3 linked regions of the Solanum lycopersicum genome follow. Each later gene encodes a partner of the first gene's protein in a complex. Links are inferred from orthologs where the notes say so. Each region holds a gene or a part of one and is shown in the gene's direction. Other genes may lie near its edges.

Region 1 (6,976 bases):
CACGCAGACAAGTTGGAACAGAAGTGTAAATTGTTTACACAAGTCAGTTTTTAATGGGAAACAATTGGCAAGAGGGCAAGTGACAATAGCTTGCATTTCGTGCAAATACAAATATCTAGTGCTGAATGGAGAAAATAACAAAACAGTGCCTGAATCTCTTTAGCTCATGGAACTCGACCACATTTACATTACGTCCAAAACCAGCAATTACAAACCCTATGCACCCTCCACGAACCAAATAGCACCCTCCACTGAAACCTCCACAATTGTTTCCTCCCATCTACCCCAGCAACCTCCTCCTTTTGCAGCCATTATTTAAACCAACAGCTTTTAAGAAATACCCAAAAAGTGGATCTTCACTTTCTTGCATCCTTTTATAGATCTCTTAATTTATCTAAGGAAGATGTACAAGATACTGATGATAAATAGTTCAATAGCAAGATGTATAATGCGGGACTATGATTTGTGTTACTATCCTCAAAAAAAAATAAAATGCGGGACTATGATAGCAAACTAACCCAATAGAGGATGCTACATCGAAGAAGTTGGAAGCGGCACTAGTCTAATAACACAACATTTACAACTACACGCATATAGCAGGTCTGATTGCCCTAGGAAACAACAGGAACCTTGGAACAGTGGTAAAGTTGTTTCTATGTAACCTATATGTCATGGGTTTGAGTCATGAAATTAACAATGATGCCCGCATCAAGTTAGGCCGCCTACACTTAACCCCTTGGGTGCAGCCCTTCCTTGAACCCTACATGAACACGGGGTGCTTCATGCACTGGACTGCCTTCTTTTTTTTCTTTTGGATTTCTCCGGAAACTCATTCATCAAAGAGACGTCTTGTCAGGTATCAAAGTTATCACCATAAATGCAAATGGTTATTGAACATAACGTACCATCACCGACAAAAAGGATAGCTAAGTGACAACAAAAGATACTAACGAAGACAATAAACTTAAACTACAGTTAGTGAGAAAAAATATAAGCATATCATTCACATTCTTATAATGGTTATACAAAAATACAACAAGAAAAAAAGTTCAACCGTTTTATTAGAGAAGCCATCCTTACCAAGTTTTTCCTCAGAAAGTGGTTCTGATTCGGGTTCCGGTTCTGGTTTCCCGCATGGAATTTCTGCATAACCCACAGATAAGCTCATGAAAAGACCAATTTTTATCACTATAAAATACACAAACCACAAGTATAACCCATAAGAATAGTTAGATTCACATAATATGTTCATAAAGAACATACCTTTATGCTTCTTGAAACAGACCAAAGAACAACTGCAAGATCAAAACAACCAAAAAAAGAACTTTTAGGTTTATCAATACTCAAATCTCCAGTAACATAACCCATAAATTACAACCCAATAAATACTAATACTGTTACACCCTCAATACTAAACAAATTGAGTTCACTGAATTCACAGGGAATCCAATACTTAAGTTTTATGAGTTCAACCTTTAGCTATCGTTTGATAGCTAGTACAGAGGCAACTTAATTATACAGCGCTTCGTATTTAGTTAAAGAAGTAAATTATTCATGTAAAGAAAGTCTGCAATTTAGAAATCCGCAGGCATAAGATAGATAACTAACAACTCCATAATCCTAACCAGCTACCAAACGACACTTCAAAGTTCTTTGCAACGAATTCATGTATAAAAGTCTGCAATTTAGAAATTCACCTTAGTTATGAGAAATTTATGCATTATTTTATGCCAGGCATAAGATAGATAACAAACAGCTAATAATTCTAACCAGCTACCTAACACACCTAAGGTTCTTTGCGACAAATTTATGTATAAAAATATGCACTTTAGAAATCCGCATATAACTAATACAAATATAAGTTATGAGAAAAATTTGTGTATTTATTCTATGCCTGACATAAGATAGATAACTGACAGTTGCATAATTCTAACCGGCTCCCAAACGACACCTAAGGTTCTTTGCAATGATTTCAATGTATAAAAGTCCGCAATTTAGAAAGCTACATGACTAATACATATATAAGCTACGAAGAAATTTATATATTATTTTATGCCGGACATAAAAAATAACTGCATAATTCTAACTAGTTACCAAACGAAACCTAAGTTTCTTATCAACAAATTCATATCTCTATTTGCTACAATTATGATGTTTTTCTACATATAAAAATTTTTACTCTGAATTTTGTATGAATAATCTATATCCATTCCCCTTCAGTTTAAACTAAAAACAAACTCAAAACCCAGAATTAAAATTCAAATAAATTTCAAAGAATGAAAAAAGATGGAAATATAATTACAAGGGGATGAAGCAATTGGGACACTTGTATCTCGACTGTGCTTCATCACATACTTGACATTTTTTCGATCCCATTATTTCTTCTTCTTCTTCGTTATCGAGGTTTTAGGGTTTTTTCTGGAAGAGGTGGAATGTAAAATTGCAATATTGGTCCCTGAATTTTGAGTTTAGATTCAATCGGGTTCTTACAATTTTATCAAATTATACTTTGAGTCGCTTAATTAATTATGGGCCTAAACTCGAATTCGGGTCCAAAATTTTCAAACCATTTTCTCTTCTGCTAAGTACCACTTTTCTCTAATAATTCTACGAGATACTCGTCACTTTCTATAATAATCATTTTTCGTAAAAGGAATCAAATCATTTTATTCATTTATATAGAAAGAATTTTGCAATAATTAATTTTCGTAAAAAGTATCAAATTATTTTATCCATTCATATAGAAAGAATTTCGTGTTATCAATTTTCGTAAAAGGTATCAAAATCATTTTATCAAAGAATTTCGTAATAATCAATTTTTCGTATAAGGTATCAAATTATTTTATCCATTCCTATAGAAAGAATCCATTAATATTTTTTAATTAATTATATAAGATACTAATCAAATTTTCGTAACAGACATTTATCCACTCGTATGAAAAGAATCCGCTAATATTTTCAATTGATTCTACGAGATACTTGTCACTTTTCGCAATAGGTATTATTCCAACCCTATGTCTTGAGTTTCGACTTTTTTGATATTTTCGACCACTTCATTGAGCACTAAATCACCATATTATCTCTGTTACTGCTAATTGTTTTGGTTTCTCTCAGCCATAGCTTGCATTACTAAACCTTAATTTTACAATTGATCGTAGAAACATATTTTTCTTGCTAGAAAAAATCTCTCTTTGGCTCGTTTTTACTGTTGATTTTTTGTTATGTGATTAATTGGACCTTGTTTGATGTAGAAACCTAGATTTTTTTGTTACAATTGGACCTTGTTTGATGTAGAAAACTGGATTTTTTGTTACAATTGGACCTTGTTTGATATAGAAACCTAGATTTCTAGCTAGAATTTTTTTTTCTTTGGCTCGTTGTTATCGTTGATTTTTTGTTATGTGATTAATTTAGGTCTGCCTGTTTAAGCTTTCGAACTATTTTTTTTAATTGAATTTTTGCAGCTCAGATTGGGGGAAAAAGTGAGATTGCTTCAACTGTTCAAGGTAATTCTTTCAATTTTTTGCTCTGATGTTTTATGTTTAGTTCTACAATGCTAAATGATTGTGTTTTATATGTCATACAATAGTGTGTATAGATGATAAAATTTGGAGTTTGATGTAGAAACTTTGAAAAAACAGATGTATAACAATAAAGATATGTTAAACAAAGATCAAATTGTACAGGCACTAGAAAAATCATATTTTGATGCCAAAATAGTCGAAAAAAACCAAAGGCAACATATACCATATAGTCCAAGGTATTGTCTTTTCTTCACCCATTCTTCTCCTTTTCCATTTTCTCTTTCTTTCCTCCATTTTTGTAGTCATTCGTTGTTTTTGCTGAGCACATGCTCCATCATATAACAATGACAACAACATACCTTGTGAAATCCCACAAGTGGACTATGGGGAGGATAGAATGTATATATGTTGTTGTACGTATGTAGAAAATATTTGCCAAACAGGAGTTAAGCTATGTGTCCAAGTGACTAATTTTCCACATGAAAAGAATCACCCATGGTGGAGTGACTTCATTGATAAAACTTGATACCATTCCAGCACTACTACCTATTTCTTTGAAGAAACTTAGTAAAACTTAAGGTTGTTTGGTCATAGCCTAATGAAAGGAGCAAGTTTGACAGTTTTTGGTGCATATTGGATCATTAGAAGTTTCATGCTTAAAATCTTGGTGAGAATTTGGGTGTACCAAAAGACAAGTAATGACCAAATGCTTAAATTTCTAATTATGGATGGAAAAGGCAATAATTGAAGACCACCCCAAAATAGGGGCAATCCGGGCAAAAACTTTAAGCCTCAATCCAAAACTAAATTCATATTAAGATCCATTAATCTTCAAGCAATGCACTTCTCATACAAAGAGTGTCAACTTTGTTATGATTTTGGTTAGGTGTTAGCTTTTTCGTTGTTACTCTTCTGTTAAACTTAATATCTTTTTGGTTCATAGGTATGTTCTAAAGAGTTCTTTGCATGTAGGTTTGAATAAATTGAAGTGCGAATGGAGTGTGTGGTTCAGGGAATTATTGAGACTCAAGTAAGTTCCTGGAGTAATGATAAAACCTCCCCCTATTTCTCGTTTTTTTCTTATTCAATCTTTTAGAAGGTATGCTACTTGTAAAAGGTATACTACGGCATTTACTGAAACAGTTTTTGGCAATTGATTATTGAAAAGATCTTGACAGTGCTAATCATACTTGCAGCATGTCGAGGCCCTGGAAATTCTGCTTCAAGGGCTTTGTGGTGTACATAAACAAAGCTTAAGGATTCATGAACTGTGCCTTAAAAGTGTCCCTAACCTAGGTAAGTGTATTTTCTCTTTGAACTATTATGGAACTAGGAACTAACCCAATGGTCATGTATGTACTGATGTGGCTGAGGCAAATGCTCACAACCATCTATGCATTCGTAGGGAGGTTTTCTCACCTTTGAGTTTGTACATAGCTGATAATTTTTTTATGGTCCATCTTATTCTAGTTGTACTGTGGTGCTGCATGTCAATTATTGAATGGAATTAGGTTCAAGTATGATTCACTTTCAGTACATCTAATTTATAGGTCGAGACCACATGGTTTTTGCTCATTCACTTGTTGACTGTTGAGTGCCTTGTTTTCAACAAAGTGTTGCCTATCATGGTTTTGTCGATGATACAGATGTGATTCTCTGCGATGATGTACATGTGATTCTTTGACATGTTGATGAGGGTAACGTCGGAGTATTAAAACAATGCTTGTTTCCTGTTAAAGATAGTATGGCAGATGTTGATCCCACAAGGATTGAGTTTCTGCTATCCTAATTAGTGTTGCTCAATTACTATTCGAGTAATCAGATAAGCAGGCGGAATGTTTTTGACTAAAATGAAATATAAATAAGAGTTCTATGACATGAATGATGGTGAAAGAGTATCCATCAGTTCATTAAACGAGTTGAATATAGACTTTTTTGTTCTAATCAGAAGGAGTTGAATCTAGACTTCACTTATGATTAGTGTATGGTGTTCACTGTCCACCAATCAATATTGATCTCTAAGTTATAAGTGCCTCTCTCTATTACACTCAACATTGATTATTCCTCTCGCTTGTAGTAATATCTAAGGAAATAGAAAACCTTAAATTCAGAGCACCTTCAGCTAATCACCTTCCAAATCACTGGTGTATATCTCGATTACATCTAACTACTATAACCTTCTTGGCTAAGTGTATTTCTTTTTATTATAATAGTCAAGGTATTATTATACCTTAAATATGGAAGACGGTTGATTAATTAACCTTGGCTCCCACAAATATATGTTGACCCCTTGTGGTTGTCTACGCATTTGTCATATCATCATCACAATTCATAAAGTATGTTGAAGACTGATTTCTCCTCTTGGTTAGACAAGGAAAAAAAGCAAACTATGATCATTCAAACGTAATTGGGAAAATAATGGAGTCCAGTGACCTCTCTAGATCAGAAGTTTGAATTGCAGAACAAATGGTTTGAATCAAATTAATAATTGTAGTTAGAGAATTAATTTATAAGAGTTAAATTATGATATCCATCTAAATCTAACTAGCAGAAAGTTACTTTATAATAGCGGTCAATCCAAATAATGAAGTATTAAAATCACAAAAATTATAATGAGAGTAAAATATGAGAAGAAAAACTCCTCAAACCGTCAATCTCTTCCTTTGAGCTCTAATTCTAGTGTTGGATCTCTCTTCCCACCTCTATGCTGTCACGGGTCGTGCAAAAACTCAAGTATCCTAGCTTAGGACGAGTATTTAGGACTTGAGAGGTTAGGGTTCAAACCACTTGGAATTCCGAAATTGTGCACTTACAGTTCTCATTCACTAGGTAGTGTGCAATTAGCAGCAGGGCGTGCAAGGCACACTCACTCCCTTGTGTTTGCAAAATGTTGGTTCTCAGGTTGCACAATTGTGTACTTCAAGTTGTTTCGGAGCTATTTCAACACCGTGAGGTGCCTGAGCACCTAATCTTTGAGTTGTTTACAGCCCAAATCCTCTCGAACTGCTTTCTAGCATGTCATGCGACATCACCTAAACAAAATGAGCAAAAGTGTGGACTCAAATTGATATCTGATTTTCACCTAATTGAGAGATATAAAATGGACCAAATATTGCGTGCATGATCAACTGTTTATACTCCAATCACATATCATATCTTGTCTAAAAATCATTTATGCCTTCTCACGATTTTTTCTTTTCTCCTTTCCTGCTCTTTGTCTTTGGGTTATTTTAACCGTGTGGTCTGTTGCTTACCATTCTCAGGCTTAGTAGCATCAGAAATACGGCTCTTATGTGATCTTGAGCAGCCAGAACCTGCATGGTAAGAGATCTGGTTTGTCCTGAGCCCCTATCTATTGGGACACTTGAAGCCTAAGTTTTTTTTTTATGTGATTAAACATAGGACTGTTAGGCATGTTGGTGGTCCAATGAGAGGTGCTGGTGCTGAACAAA
Region 2 (6,976 bases), on another chromosome or scaffold:
TTTTATGAAAACAAAATATATGGAAGGATGGGGCCCAAAGAGTGAGGACAAATTAAAGTAATATCACTTCAACTAGTCATGTCAAATGTAACTTCAATTGTTGTCTTATCAGTTTCACCCTTCCTTTTATCCGTGTGACAGTGGGTTAACTTGTATTGACCATTGGAATGTTTCGTGTGGCCGGTAACTTTTTTGTTTCCTCCCTTTGCCTTTTTTATTTTTTATTTTTAACTTTTAGGTGCCACTAGAATTTAGAGCAAATAACAAAACTTGATCCTCTCTACATCTAACGATAACAATAGTTTATTTAAATTAATTTCATATAGTGAAATTCAAAATAAAGTGATGTATACAAATTTTATTTTTATCTCAATATTTCTGACTAGGTAACTTTTTATTTTATAATATATAATTATTGGTAGTATTCATTGTTGGCCTCAGTACGCAGAGTATGTTGTCTTGGTTTTAATCAACATGACTCTTTAGACATCAAAAGTTGTCTTTGAACTTCCAACTTAGTATCAAAAATCACTATGAGTCTATCCGATCAAAATTATCTCATTGGTGAGGCGGAGCTACCGGTATGGAAGGGTGGTCAGCGATCACTGAGTTTTGGCCAAAAATATTTTTTAACTATATGTCAAACTTAAATTATAGCCCTAAAATATCATTTTTAGCAGATAACTATATTCAAAATTAAACTATATCTTTAAAGTATCATTTTCAGCAGAAAACATCCTTTAAGTATTTTTACGTGAACAATTTTCATCCTTTTGTTAGATATTGTCAAAAGATTAAGGGATCTTACGAAAACATGAGCAATTAATGTGACTATCAACAAATTTTATTATGCATAATTTCATTAAATCTACAATAAATTCTTGAAAATATAAAAAATCTTAGACACTGTTGCTTATGAAAACTATAAATGATTAGAAGGTGTGAGCGTACATGATTTGCCTTTTGCGCAACAGAAAGAAGTTGGAGATTAATTATTTTTATCTTTTTCTTAACCAATTAAATTATTAGATTTTTGGGTCAATCTAATATCGAAGTGACCAAAATATTGATTATGTCTTGTATTTGAGTTTCATTCTACATTATTTGAAGGGGAAGTCTCCAAAAAATGTCGCTTCTAGCATATTTAATTGAGAAGAAACTATTTAAATTAATAATATTTTAAATTAAAATTATATGAAAAATGAATGAAAAAGACGGTCAAATTAAAAGATTTTGCATAATTCTTAACTCAATTAAGAAAAAGTTCGCGATAATATTCTTGGCATATATAAGAATAACAATTAGGAAGGGACGGCTTATTTTTTGAGGGATATATCAATTAAGGATGAAAATTATTTACTTTAAAATACTTTAAGGATGTTTTATGATAAGAATATACTTTAAGGCTGTAATTTGAGTTTGAGGTATAGTTTAATGATGATTTTGGCTAAAATTTCAAAATAATTAATCTCCAACCTTTTTCAATTACGGAAAAGGCGAATCATGTACGCTCACACCTTTCAATCATTTTTAATTTCCATAAGCAACAATGTCTAAGATTTTTTATATTTTTCAAGAACTTCTTGTAGAAAATAATGAAATTATACATAATAACTTTTGTTGATAGTCGCGTTAACTGCTCATGTTTTTGTAAGATCCCTTAGTTTTTGACAATATCTAACAAAAGGATGAAAGTTGTTCACTTACAAATACTTAAAGGATGTTTTCTGCTAAAAATGATACTTTAAGAATGTAGCTTAAATTTGGGGTATAGATAAATGATGTTTTATGCTAAAAATAATAATTTAAGGATGTAGTTTAGATTTCGGGTATAGTTAAAAAATGTTTTTGGCCAAATTATACCCTATATATAAATAAAATGCTATATAATATTGCGATATATAATTAATTGAACACCTATGACAAAGTCTATTGGTCTGCTGGTAAGCATGTTCATTTACGTGCAAGAGGTCCTCAGTTGCAACATGTTTTTTAAAACATAAAACACACTCTCTTTTCAATTATGTGTAAGAGATCTGTATTAAGTGACTTATTAGGTATACACATTCTCAAGATTTTATTTTAAAGAAAAAATTAAAGATTATTATTTATTATTATACTTTTGAGTATTTCTAAAGTATCTTTCTATTTAGAAAAAGTAAAATAGTTAAGAATTTGAAAATAGGAGAAAAAAACTCATCATAATCGTGAAAGTCACTCTCAAAAGGCTCATCATAGCCCTTTTTGTGACTCGACTCAAGCTCATCATACATTATTCGATATTTGAACTATTCAGTTATTTAAATTACAAAAAACACTCGACAATTTATTTCATATGAACTAGAGGGAGTATATTTCAAGCAAAAATTATTTTGTGACTTTTGTCCATTAGTTTTGATTTATTCCATCGATAGTTTTATCATTTTAAATTTCCGCAAGATTTAGTTACTAAGTGATGTGTAATTTAATTTCTCACACATTTGCAAAAATAAATTTTGTGTACCCACTTCGCTAAAAAAATTATCGACTCTTTTAAAGTTTGAACAACCTCGGCGAAATTTCTGGCTCCGCCACTATTTGGCGAGTAACATACTCATCATACACTTTCTTGGATATATCGCGTTAATTCATTCATCATCAAGATAAATGATTTTGATCTAAAAGTTGATGTCTGGTGCAACCTCTTCATAGTGGAAAAGTGCTTTTTTTTCTTCTAGGTCTTGACTCCTTCATACATGTCCTTGATCTTCTAAATATACGTCATAGAGTCTGGCATTAATACATACATTTTATGAACCCTAAACACCCAAAGGGACCTCCAAAAAAATTTGGTGTGTGTTTTATAGAGGGTCCCTTTTAGTGTTTAGGGTTTAAAAAGTGTCCGTTTTGATATCAGACTTCTACATACCTCCAATTTCCAAACATCTCCAAAAAACCTCCTTCAAGACTCTGTCTAAAAAACTTTCCAATCAATGAACATCATATGCAAGTTTTTCTATTTGACTGTACTTATTTATCAATCTCTTTATAATGACTTTTGAATACATGTGAAACATGCTTAGATATCAAGTGTATAGAATAAATTATATCTAATTTTGACTCATATGTATCTATTTTGTAAAGTTCTAAGAGAAAATATAATTAGAAAGTATAGTTTCAACCGATAAATAACACAAATGTAAATGTGTGTTTTGTGTTGTTTCCTCTTAATTTAAATACAATTCATTCAAATTTGAATGCACTAGTGATCTACTTTTTTATTAGTTCAATCTATTTCAGTTTGTTAAAATATTAGTTCATATATAAATCAAATCGGTTAATGAAAAGTGAGTTTTATGTATTTTGAATTAGTATTTTAATTATTAAAAATTATCTATTTTTTTTTAATACATACTAAATTTTATACTATAGAAAATGTTAAAATTTCTAAATTAGCTTGTTTGCTCTTGAAATCGAAACCTCCCCACAAATTGGGACAGCGGGAGTAATTTCAATTTTGCTATTTGAAAAAACAGAGGATTTTCCGTTGGGGTTTAACCGGATCGGGCCTTTTCATCTCCGGTAATCTTTCTCGTTTTGTAATTCTCATCGTACTTCTGCTTTGTTATTAACTGTACTAGTTGTGGTTTCAGTAAAGTTTAGCTTCGTATAGTTGTGAATTCATTCTCTTGTGGCGGCTTAAATCAAGGGTTTGGTTGTCAGTGTTATAGCAAACGAAGATTCTGTTCAGAAGATTTAGAGTTCTTTTTTGTTGGAAATTTTGAGGTTGTGATTTTGACCTAAAACTGTTAATTTCATAGATAGAGAGATATTTGTATGTTAGTAATAGGGAACCTCTAGGGTTATGAAAACCTAAATTATTGAATATTGGAATAGATGGGGTTCTAATGGAGAGAATTCATATAGTAAACCCAAACTAATTCGGGATTGAGGCATACTTCTTGATTACTGAGCTAAATTAGAGATAAAGAGTAAGAGGTGCAGTTGGGATTGATTCATTTCTCACTTTAATAACTATCTAATTTTACAGTTTTAGGTTTTGTAAACTTTTTTAGTGCATACTAATAACTATCTACCCTTTTGGTTTGCTTGGGATTGCTAGCTCCTTAGCTTTAGTTTAGGATACTTGTATGAGTGCTGAGATTTTTTTTATGCCCTTCCGAATTAGAGCTAAGCGGTCGCATATTTTGTAATCTGGCATCTACCCGATGCCCATTCAAGGATAATTTTTAACCTTATCAAAAAGACATAGTTGCAGCAGTAATTTTTTCCGATGTACCTATTGATTTAACAATGTGAACACCAAATTTATACAGATGTCATGGTAGTTTTTACTTGGAGATAAGAGTTTACTGTTTGTTAAATTTCAAAGAAGAGTTTACTGTTTGTTACGAGGGATGGGCTTCAGTTTTAGAGGGTCTCACTTGATGGCTTTGTTCTCTTTGGTACAAAAGAACTATTCTTGTAATAAGATGTGGATGAAATGTCATTTAGGAATGATGGGAAATATATTTTTGAAGTGGTTTGTACATTTCAGAATCTTAGGAATTATTTCTCTTTGCTACTCAGTCCATTAGGCCAGTTCATGCTTTGATAGTTTTGGCTATTTGTGTAGTACTTGATTACATCTGATGACATTAATTTTATCCATTTTAGAACCAAAGTACCAACAGATTTCAGCTCAACAGCCATTAGTTATGGACCACTTTGGAGGAGGAAGTTGGACAATGATCCCCAACATCCAAACTCACAGTAATCCTTCGACACCCTCCAATCAAGACAATTTATTTCTTCAGCAACAGCAATTTCAACAACAACAGTTCATTCAACCGCAGCTCTATCAGCAACAACAGCAGCAGCAGCAGCAACAACAACAACGGTATCAACAACAGATGCAACAGCAACAAATGCAGCAGCAGCAACAGATGCAGCAGCAGCAAATGCAGCAACAACAACAACAGCAGCAGCAAATGCAGCAACAACAACAACAGCAGCAGCAGCAACAACAACAACAGCACCACCAATCACTTGCCTCTCACTTCCATCTTTTACAAGTATTGGGCAAAAACCATGATCTGTAGCTTGCTATTTTAATAGAGTAACGAGACATTTCTCTTTCCTAGTGAGACCTTTTGTTCTAACTTTTATTGTCATCTTACAGCTGGTGGAGAATTTAGCTGATACAATTGAAAATGGAAATCGAGATCAGCACTCAGATGCATTGGTTTGTTCATTTCTTGATTGATGCATTATATGTTAGTTTTCCATTTCTTCTACATTAAACCGGGTGTATTTTTCCTCACCAGGTAACTGAATTGAAAAATCAGTTTGAGAAGTGCCAGCAGCTGTTGACATCAATATCAGGGTCTATTAGCTCAAGATCTATGGTATTTCATTTTCACACATATCCTTTGATTTCTGTTGTAACTTGTTCTGAACACACCCCCAACTCAAAAAATAAAAAGAAAAAAGAGAGAGACTCCAACAAAGAGTTAAGCGCAATAATATGAAAACAGAACTTCAAAATTATTCTTTTCTGGAAGAGTTGGATTGTTTTTCTTTTGGCAGTGTTATTGCTTTTAATTGTGCTTTTCCATTTGGGCCTGTTTGTTCAACTTATAGTTGTGAAGAATTTTACTGAAAAGTGGGGTTCAATATGTTTGAAACGATGTTGACTTGAACAAAGTTGCTCCACAAATTCTTATTTGGTTGCATGTTTTGATGCTTAAATATGGGTAAGATAATTGACCAGTCCTGTGTTCTTTGGACAGACAGTTGAGGGACAAAAGCGCAAAAAGGCAGAGTGCGAACAAATGCTAAATCAGCGAAGGTTTGTATTATATATATATAAAACACACACACACACACATATATATATGTGTGTGTGTGTGTGTTTCTAATATTGTCTACTGAAATTTGTATAATTATTATTTGCTTCATCTGATGGTCATGTTTCATGCTTAATTACAGGGATCTTATTTCGAGGTACAAAGGCTCAGTTGAGGAGATTATTAACTCTGAACTATAGCTCATACTCGCATTTTAACCAAGGTAAAATTATGCGCTGCAAGTTGTTTTTGGCCTGCCCAAAAGAAGTTGAGTTGAATCACCTGTCATTTTGATTTTACTAGATGCAAGTGAAACAACTATGCAGTGTTCTGGATGCAGTCAATTTGTAGTTTGTTGTAATACATGAGAATAAAGTGCTCATGAGAAATTTTTATTGATGTTACTGTTGTAATCACTATGGCGCTCGCCACAAATGACTGCTCTGACTGTACTGAGAACATAAAATGTTTTGGGCCAAGGTTATGATAAAGTAATGCATTGCCTTCTTAACTGACTGATTGTATTTAAATCTAATTACATCAAAGTGAAGCAAATAATTGAAGTAACGGTGCTACCCGGGCTCTAGTCAGGCACCTGGATAGCTGATTGTTCAGTTTAATACTTGACTAGAAATAGTCTAAGCATTTAAAGTAATTTAAGTAGCCTGGAGAGTTGATCTTTCCATATATGGACTTTGAGGGCATCCGGGAGTGATCTATGTTACATATCACGTACATCGAGAACTTCCCGAAGACATGGCTTTAGAAAAATGTATGTTTGCCTAAGTTGTTGGGAGATTTGATTTGCTTAAAGATTAATATTTTTGTTACCTTATGTATTTTTTTGAGTTGAATTCAATGCTACATAGAATTCAAATCAGCATTAGGAACTTCACAAATAAGTTGGACATCGCTAGCTATCGAAATATCTAAGTTATTATTTGCATCATTCATAATCTATTCTCAGAAATCGTTAAATATTCATTTAAAGTGCACTTTAACTCTGAAGCTAGGTGAAGTCCGAGTTGGGCGCTTTGCCTTGCTTAATTGACACCTTGGCTCAGGCATCAAGTAGCTAAATAGTGTCCTTGTCATTTTTAGGAAGTTAGACTATAGAGTAAATGTCAACTTAGTTGACGGATTGATAC
Region 3 (6,805 bases), on another chromosome or scaffold:
ATGTGTAATACACTCGTTGATGACGTGGCAAACAATCAATTAAATAATTACATGTATTATTTTCAGTTAAAAATAATTATAAAATCTATTTAGTAAAAAAATTTAAAATATTATTCTACGAAAATTTCTTATTTCATTACACTCAAATCTCTTTTGTGCTTTACAAAAAAATATTATTTTCTTTTACTATTTTTCATATTTATTCTTCTTTTTAGTATTGTTTTTCTTTAAAAAAAGAAAGGAGGGAGAGAATAAACATGAAATATGGGTGTTGGTATCCATTTTTCCGGCAAAAAATAGAGTGAGGTGAAGATAGACTTAGATAAGTAATACAATGATGAAGAAGAAAATGACTTAACAACGAATTTGAATAAAAAATTTGACCTCCATTGAAGGAATTTAAATTCGAAAAAAAAGGGGGTGGTGGCTTGGAGAAGAAGAAGATAAAATAAAATTAAAAATGGCTAAATTAAGTCTTTCACGCGCTATTGTTAAGTGTATCACACTCACTTTGACATGTCAGCAAAAAGTGCCAAAATGACACAACAGAACCCTACACGAGGTGTCTAAAATGAACATCGCCTAATTTAGGTGTTCTAAGTGAAAATCGATAGCAAGTTTAGGAGGTCACCGATGAATTTGACAAGTTTGAGCAATTAAACAAAATATTTAATTTAAACATTAATGTAAAATTAATTTTATTCATCACATATAATATAATTACTCATCAATAATATATAACACTAACAAATGAAAAAAAATATATGTCTCATTTTAATGTACATAGAACACTTAATATATAATACTAATGATGAAAATACAAATAAAATAAAAATTAAGATACATAAATAATACTACTCCTTTAGTCCAATAAAATAGCACTCGTATATATATAAATAATTATTAGAAACTCAAACAATTATTACTCAATTATGATTTTATTCAAATATATTTTAAAAATCTTACACTCTAAAATATTAATTTTGAAACTAAAGGGAAGCTTTGTGTTACAAATGAAAACTATTGGGGAGGAATATGTAATTATTTCGAAACAGAGTGAGGGGAGAAGAGAAAAAAACCAAAAAAAGACAGAGGAGAAGATTGTGGAAGCCATTTTCTTCCTTCAGTCAAGTAAGTAGAAAAACCCTAGTCTTTGTGGTTTTTCTTCTTTTCATTTGCTTAAATTTATTTGAGTATTTTCAAGAAATTTGTGTATTGCATCAATTTTGTTTCAGTTGATTTCTTGCTTTTGAGTGTTTTGGGTAATCATAGAAAATTGTTTCTTGGGTTTGTTTTTGTATGCAGAATTTGATAGCATAATAGCTCTTTAATTGTTGTACAAAGATTCAATTTTTAATGATGAAATTACTACAAAGATTCAATTTTTAGTGATGGTCTTGCTAAAGATTCAATTTTAATGATGTTGTTGCTATAAAGATTCAATTTTTAATGATGGTCTTGATACAAAGATTAAATTTTTAATGATGTTCTTGCTAATTTATTCTCTCCTTTATAGATTTACGGAGGTTAGTGATCAATTAGGGCTTCGAGGGGTTGTGATGGATAATCTCGTAGATGCACTGAGCAGTGCATATCAAGACTTTGTTGCAGCATCAGCTGTTGTACTTGAATCAAAGGAGAGTTCTAATGGTCAGAAAACAGCAGCAACTGATGCTGCATTAGAAAACTTTAAGCAAAAGTGGGAGTTGTTCAGGGTTGCGTGTGATCAGGCGGAGGAGTTTGTGGAATCGGTTAAGCAAAGAATTGGCTCCGAGTGTCTTGTGGATGAGGCTACAGGCACTGTTTCAGGGAAGCCTGGGCAACCAGCTGCAAGTGGCCTTCAACCCATTAGTGCTGTTAGGTTGGAGCAGATGAGTAAAGCTGTAAGATGGCTAGTGATAGAACTGCAACATGGTTCTGGAGCGAATAGTGCTTCAGCAGTACATCCCAATCCTTCTGCTCCATTTGATGCCAGATTTTCTGAAGATGCAGCTCAATAGGTATACTGAAATCTCGCTGATACTTCCTGTCCTTGTCGTTTCCGTTGACTATGTTAAATAATCTGGAAACAAATTTGTATTATTTAATGAACTATTAGTGATAGGCTTTGTATCCTAGACTTGATGATGAAGCAAATAAGTGAACATTCCCTTGGAACTGAAACTGATTCATATATAAGAGCTGCTATTACAAAACCGCTGGTCTTGTATAAATTTCCAGGTTGATAGAAAAGTAGTAGAAGCTAACAAAACTGCTTTTTAGTGGCATCATATGTTCTCTTCCATCAGAACGAATAACTGTGAGTAACCACTAGTTTCTGCAGCAATTATGTTATATGTACTATCCTTACTTTATTTATGAAGAATACTATCCTTACTTATTAAGCTAAGTTTGACCCAACTTCTTTTTTTATGATCAATTATGTACTATCCTTACTTATTAAGCTGAGTTTGACCCAACACTTCTGACAGACAAATGGAAACTAGAAAAAAAAAATTGGTTTCGTTTTATTCTGTTTTCATCGCTGTAAAACAAAGAACTATTAGTTGTGACTGTTTTCAGGTAACTACAGAGTCTGGTGATCAGCAGAGAGAAACAGAAGATCTTATGTGCCTTAGTAAGCCGCTAAAGTTGATGTTTGATGTATGAAGTCATGTTGTAACGATGTAGAAGAAATACTTTGGAATGATATTTGTAAACCACCTTTACCGCCTCCCTCCCTCGCCATCTTATGAGAAGATCTGGCAAATTTACATTTGTGTTTTCTAGGCACAGAGATTTACTTTTATCGCAGTATGAGCTACTGCACTGTTAGCTTTATTTAGATCTTAAGCATACCAACATATACAAACAGGCTGTATGTTTGTGTCTGCTATGTGTACCTTATATTCTCGAGTATTTATGTTTATAATCGATTTTTGTTAGGAAATATATCTCCAATCTTGTAAAGTGGCTTTTTAGTTAATTGTGTTAACCCTGATGAACTCATTCAGTAGGCTTTGGAGACCTCTGGAATTGTTGCAACAGAGTATTATGACGCTTTGAGTGTAGCAGTATTAGTAAATACGCTTTAGCTTACAACTACATCTTGATTGCTACACAAATGCTCAGTATCCATGTCGCTCCATTTAACCTTATCTCAGTCTAATATTTAGTTGTACTGTATAATAACTTTGAAAACAGAAGTTCTCACTTGTCACTGCACTTGGAAACGTCTTTGTCCAATAACGCAAACTAATACTAGTAAATGAGAGATCTATGATGTAAAAGTTCTGATGGTTATTGAGAATCGTCTGAAGGGATGACAAGCAGAGGCTACTCTATAAAGCTATATATATCAGAAAAAACAACGCTCTTTTCATTAATTTTATGCAGACCCAAGAAGAAATGGGTTTTGAGGCAACATACAATGCTTAAGAGCATCTTTTGAGATAAATTCCATGCAAATATACACAATTTGTTGCTTTCATCTGGATATACAGGGTGGTGAAGAGAGCATGTGCGATAACAATGGCACAACTAGGCGAGTAGTTACCATGAACAGCACAAGCACTTTATGTTCAAAAGTCATAACTGATCCTATGAGCAATAGATTGAATATTGAGTAGCAGCCTCAAACATACTGTGTAACAACCAACGCTACAAGCAATAGATCGTGAGCAACCGCCTCAAATAAACAATCCCTTTACTGGTGAAATCACTTTTTTGCAAAACTAAGCTATTATGGTCTAAGAAAGCAAAGCTCTTAATCATAAGATGCTCTATTGGTCCCAAGCTCCACATAGGGTTGCTAATTGGGTGGAGTCTTCCCACAGCAATGTGGACAAAAATCTATCACATGGTCAGCAGTCCTACTGTTCAGGAAGAACATAAACCACTCAGTAGTTGTACCTTCTTCTAACAGGACTCTGCTGGCAGAATTCTGGTCATTCTTCTTGCTTACATCTTCTTTCGTCAAAACTCGTTTTTTTCCCAGTCTTCAAGTCATTCAGAGCTTCAGTTCTTCAACCAGCTCTGATGTGAATCAGGGAGCCTAAAGAGCCCTGGACGAACATTTGACATCTTATCTTTAAGCTGATAGGCCACTAGTGATACCAGAATTTTCATCAGCAGCACCTATCCTCATAAGCTTTTCGACTTCAGATGCTTCAGCCATATTTACCAGAGAGGATTATACTGCCTTGGTTCTGGATGAAATTGCGTAGTCTATTCTATTTTCAACACTGTAATCCAGGATGATGTCTAGATCTGTGGAGTTCCTACATACATACATCATTCTGCTGGTTATTCAAGCATTGATCTAGAGAAGACTCAGCTGCAGCTACACAGAAGCTGTGGTTGCTCGTCCATCGTTGTTGCACAGTCAGCTTTATTCCAGATCCATCTTGAAAACCGTCTAAATTTGCAATAATGCATCTGCGGAAGGAATATTGTTCGTCGTATCCAGCTCCTCATCAATCATGACATCTCCGTTCTCGTCAAACACATTGGCTGATGTAATCCCATCAAGAGAAAACAATTGACTCGCACAAGCGGAGATGGATACTGGGCTGGTTTGCATCTCAACAGAAGGATGTTCCACAGCAGAACCTATATCTGTGCGCGTGCCATTTTGAGTAGCTACCCGATCAATCTTGCCACCACTCAAATTACATGTGGCAGAACTTGGATGCTGGAGCTCAGTCAGATCATTTTCCACATTGACTAATGTGTGTGTTCTATTGCTTGCTGTCACCACATCAGGTTTGGCTGTAGTAAGCTGAAGAGCTTGTCGCTTCGACTGGCCACTTCCAGGACCAAGTTGAGCATTCAACTGCGTCTGCACCCAGACAGCTAGAGAAAGTGCATGATCACGAATCAAAGAATCATGAGGTGGGCAGTGTAACATATCGACCAGAGCCTGCATATACTGGAACATACTGACGGATGGAGTATTAGACCCTTTGTCACGTAGACATTTAATGCTTTTAAGAATATGCTCGCATAAGTTTCCCATTTTCGCCCAATTACAATCACAAAGTGCATATTCGGAAGCTGGATTCCAAACAACATGCACTTTATGTCGATCTTCCTGATCAACAACTTTTGAATAATCACCCTCAATTAACACATCTGAATCTGGAATCTGCAAAGATTTCTGCCAAGCTGTTAAGCCACTCATCCATTCATCCTTCCAGTATCGTGCGAAATCATCCTTCCCTGAGTACTCATCAAGCCAGAAGTAAGAATGCACTGTAGTACCTAGCTTATCTACTAACCAATCAGCACGTTGATATACACATTTTTCCTTCTCATTCAATAACCTAAGCTTTAATTGGTTGTGATAGTATTCCATTGACGAGCACATCTCCTGGCTGGCAAGAGGAAGACTTCTCAGTGCACTAGTCCAGAGCCCTGAGTAATCAAAATCCGTCAGCAAGAAAAGCCCCAAAGAGGAACCAACTAATTTATAAAAGTATTTCAAGCATTCTTGAAGAATAATGTGTTTTTCAAAACTAAAAGAATAAGGTCTTTAGTACAAAAACTAGGCTAGCATGTCCTTTTCAAGTGAGGACACATAAACGTGAAAGATTGCATGTATGGAGTTCCTCAATCTATAATAATTTAAATGCATAACAACTGAGAAATTGTTATGTAATTGAAAATATGACGGAGTTTTTGGACTTCATGACACCCAATCATAACAACATACCCAGTGACCTCATCTTTTATGAAACAGAGCTAATCCCGGGATCCAAAAAAAGACTAACATTTACCACACAGATGTGTGAAGCATCTTTTTTTTTTTTGCAAGGTATGTGAAATGTTGCACAATGTGGACATAGGGAGTGTTAGTTTAAATTCATGCTAGGCCTGGATCTAAATCAGATTATCCATGTGTCAATTGAGTAAGCAGAAAACCTGTTTCAGAGGTGTACTTCAATCTAATTGCAATAACAATCCTATTGGTACCTACAGAGACTGTTTTACTGAATAGTAAAAACTCACCTAGTCTTGGGTACCATATGGCCTTGAAATAGTCCAAAAAATCTGCAGCATCCACAAATTCTTCCATAAATTCTTCAAACAAATCAGCAGTTCCATCCCCTTTGCAGATGCGCTGCACTGCCTGGCCTAGCCTCTTTGCAATTACAGCACAGGTCTCCAGTTCCGAGCATTTCTTAATCAAGTTCTTATGCCATGCATGACGAACCCGCCAAAAGCATATCAATACAGAGCACTGGAACACTTCCCTGAATAATAAGCAAACAAAGATTTAATACACCATGCATGCAAGAAAAGTCAAGAAGGTGAAGTAGATGACTAGAGGGCACAATTTTAATCTGTGCAATCTAGTATACAAAATATATACTCTACAGAACCTCAACTCATGAGTGACTGAGAAAGCACAAAAAGAAAAACTAAGTGACATGCCTAACATTCAGATAAACCTTCCACACACTGAATGAGCAAAGTATGCAAGTTCCATCATTCAATTTAAAATTTATTACTCTCACCATCCCAATTTATGTGATGTAATTTGATGATGCAAGGAGTTAAGAAATATGGCAAGACTTTGCAAGGTTTCAAAACTAACCTTAATATAAATGCATTTCTAGATAGAAAAGTACATCTTTGTGGAGTTGTAGCCAAATAAGTGGGACTCAACATGGGTAAAATGTTAATAGTGTCATTATATATTTACCAAATAAGGAAATATGTCATTCTTTTATTCTTCATTAGTTCAAAATATTCAGACCGATCCAACAGAACAACATTGAAATTGCCAGCCTATTTTACATGCATTCATCTACTAATATCATCA

The links.
Region 2: MED18 (region 1) and mediator of RNA polymerase II transcription subunit 9 share a complex: the UniProt entries of both Arabidopsis thaliana proteins name them as parts of the mediator complex. The link is inferred for Solanum lycopersicum from reciprocal best matches to the Arabidopsis thaliana genes AT2G22370 and MED9.
Region 3: MED18 (region 1) and mediator of RNA polymerase II transcription subunit 32 share a complex: the UniProt entries of both Arabidopsis thaliana proteins name them as parts of the mediator complex. The link is inferred for Solanum lycopersicum from reciprocal best matches to the Arabidopsis thaliana genes AT2G22370 and MED32.

What each region holds. Positions count from the first base shown.
Region 1 is NC_090805.1:1,886,992-1,893,967, reverse strand, and holds the start of MED18 (mediator of RNA polymerase II transcription subunit 18), read left to right. Parts: upstream 1-3,112; 5' UTR 3,113-3,506; intron 3,507-3,686; exon of another isoform or gene 3,687-3,760; intron 3,761-4,496; 5' UTR 4,497-4,518; coding exon 4,519-4,554; intron 4,555-4,720; coding exon 4,721-4,820; intron 4,821-6,787; coding exon 6,788-6,845; intron 6,846-6,926; coding exon 6,927-6,976. Other genes in the region: ZNHIT (zinc finger HIT-type containing protein), read right to left, coding at 1,081-1,143, 1,264-1,295, 2,303-2,376. UniProt on the Arabidopsis thaliana protein: Component of the Mediator complex, a coactivator involved in the regulated transcription of nearly all RNA polymerase II-dependent genes.
Region 2 is NC_090801.1:55,596,876-55,603,851, forward strand, and holds the start of mediator of RNA polymerase II transcription subunit 9, read left to right. Parts: upstream 1-3,240; 5' UTR 3,241-3,561; intron 3,562-4,656; 5' UTR 4,657-4,697; coding exon 4,698-5,054; intron 5,055-5,161; coding exon 5,162-5,224; intron 5,225-5,306; coding exon 5,307-5,387; intron 5,388-5,771; coding exon 5,772-5,830; intron 5,831-5,970; coding exon 5,971-6,028; 3' UTR 6,029-6,051; exon of another isoform or gene 6,052-6,339; intron 6,340-6,976. UniProt on the Arabidopsis thaliana protein: Component of the Mediator complex, a coactivator involved in the regulated transcription of nearly all RNA polymerase II-dependent genes.
Region 3 is NC_090807.1:64,219,904-64,226,708, reverse strand, and holds mediator of RNA polymerase II transcription subunit 32, read left to right. Parts: upstream 1-985; 5' UTR 986-1,131; intron 1,132-1,133; exon of another isoform or gene 1,134-1,262; intron 1,263-1,516; 5' UTR 1,517-1,559; coding exon 1,560-2,000; intron 2,001-2,546; exon of another isoform or gene 2,547-2,562; 3' UTR 2,563-2,929; downstream 2,930-6,805. Other genes in the region: uncharacterized protein, read right to left, coding at 4,397-5,394, 5,989-6,233. UniProt on the Arabidopsis thaliana protein: Component of the Mediator complex, a coactivator involved in the regulated transcription of nearly all RNA polymerase II-dependent genes.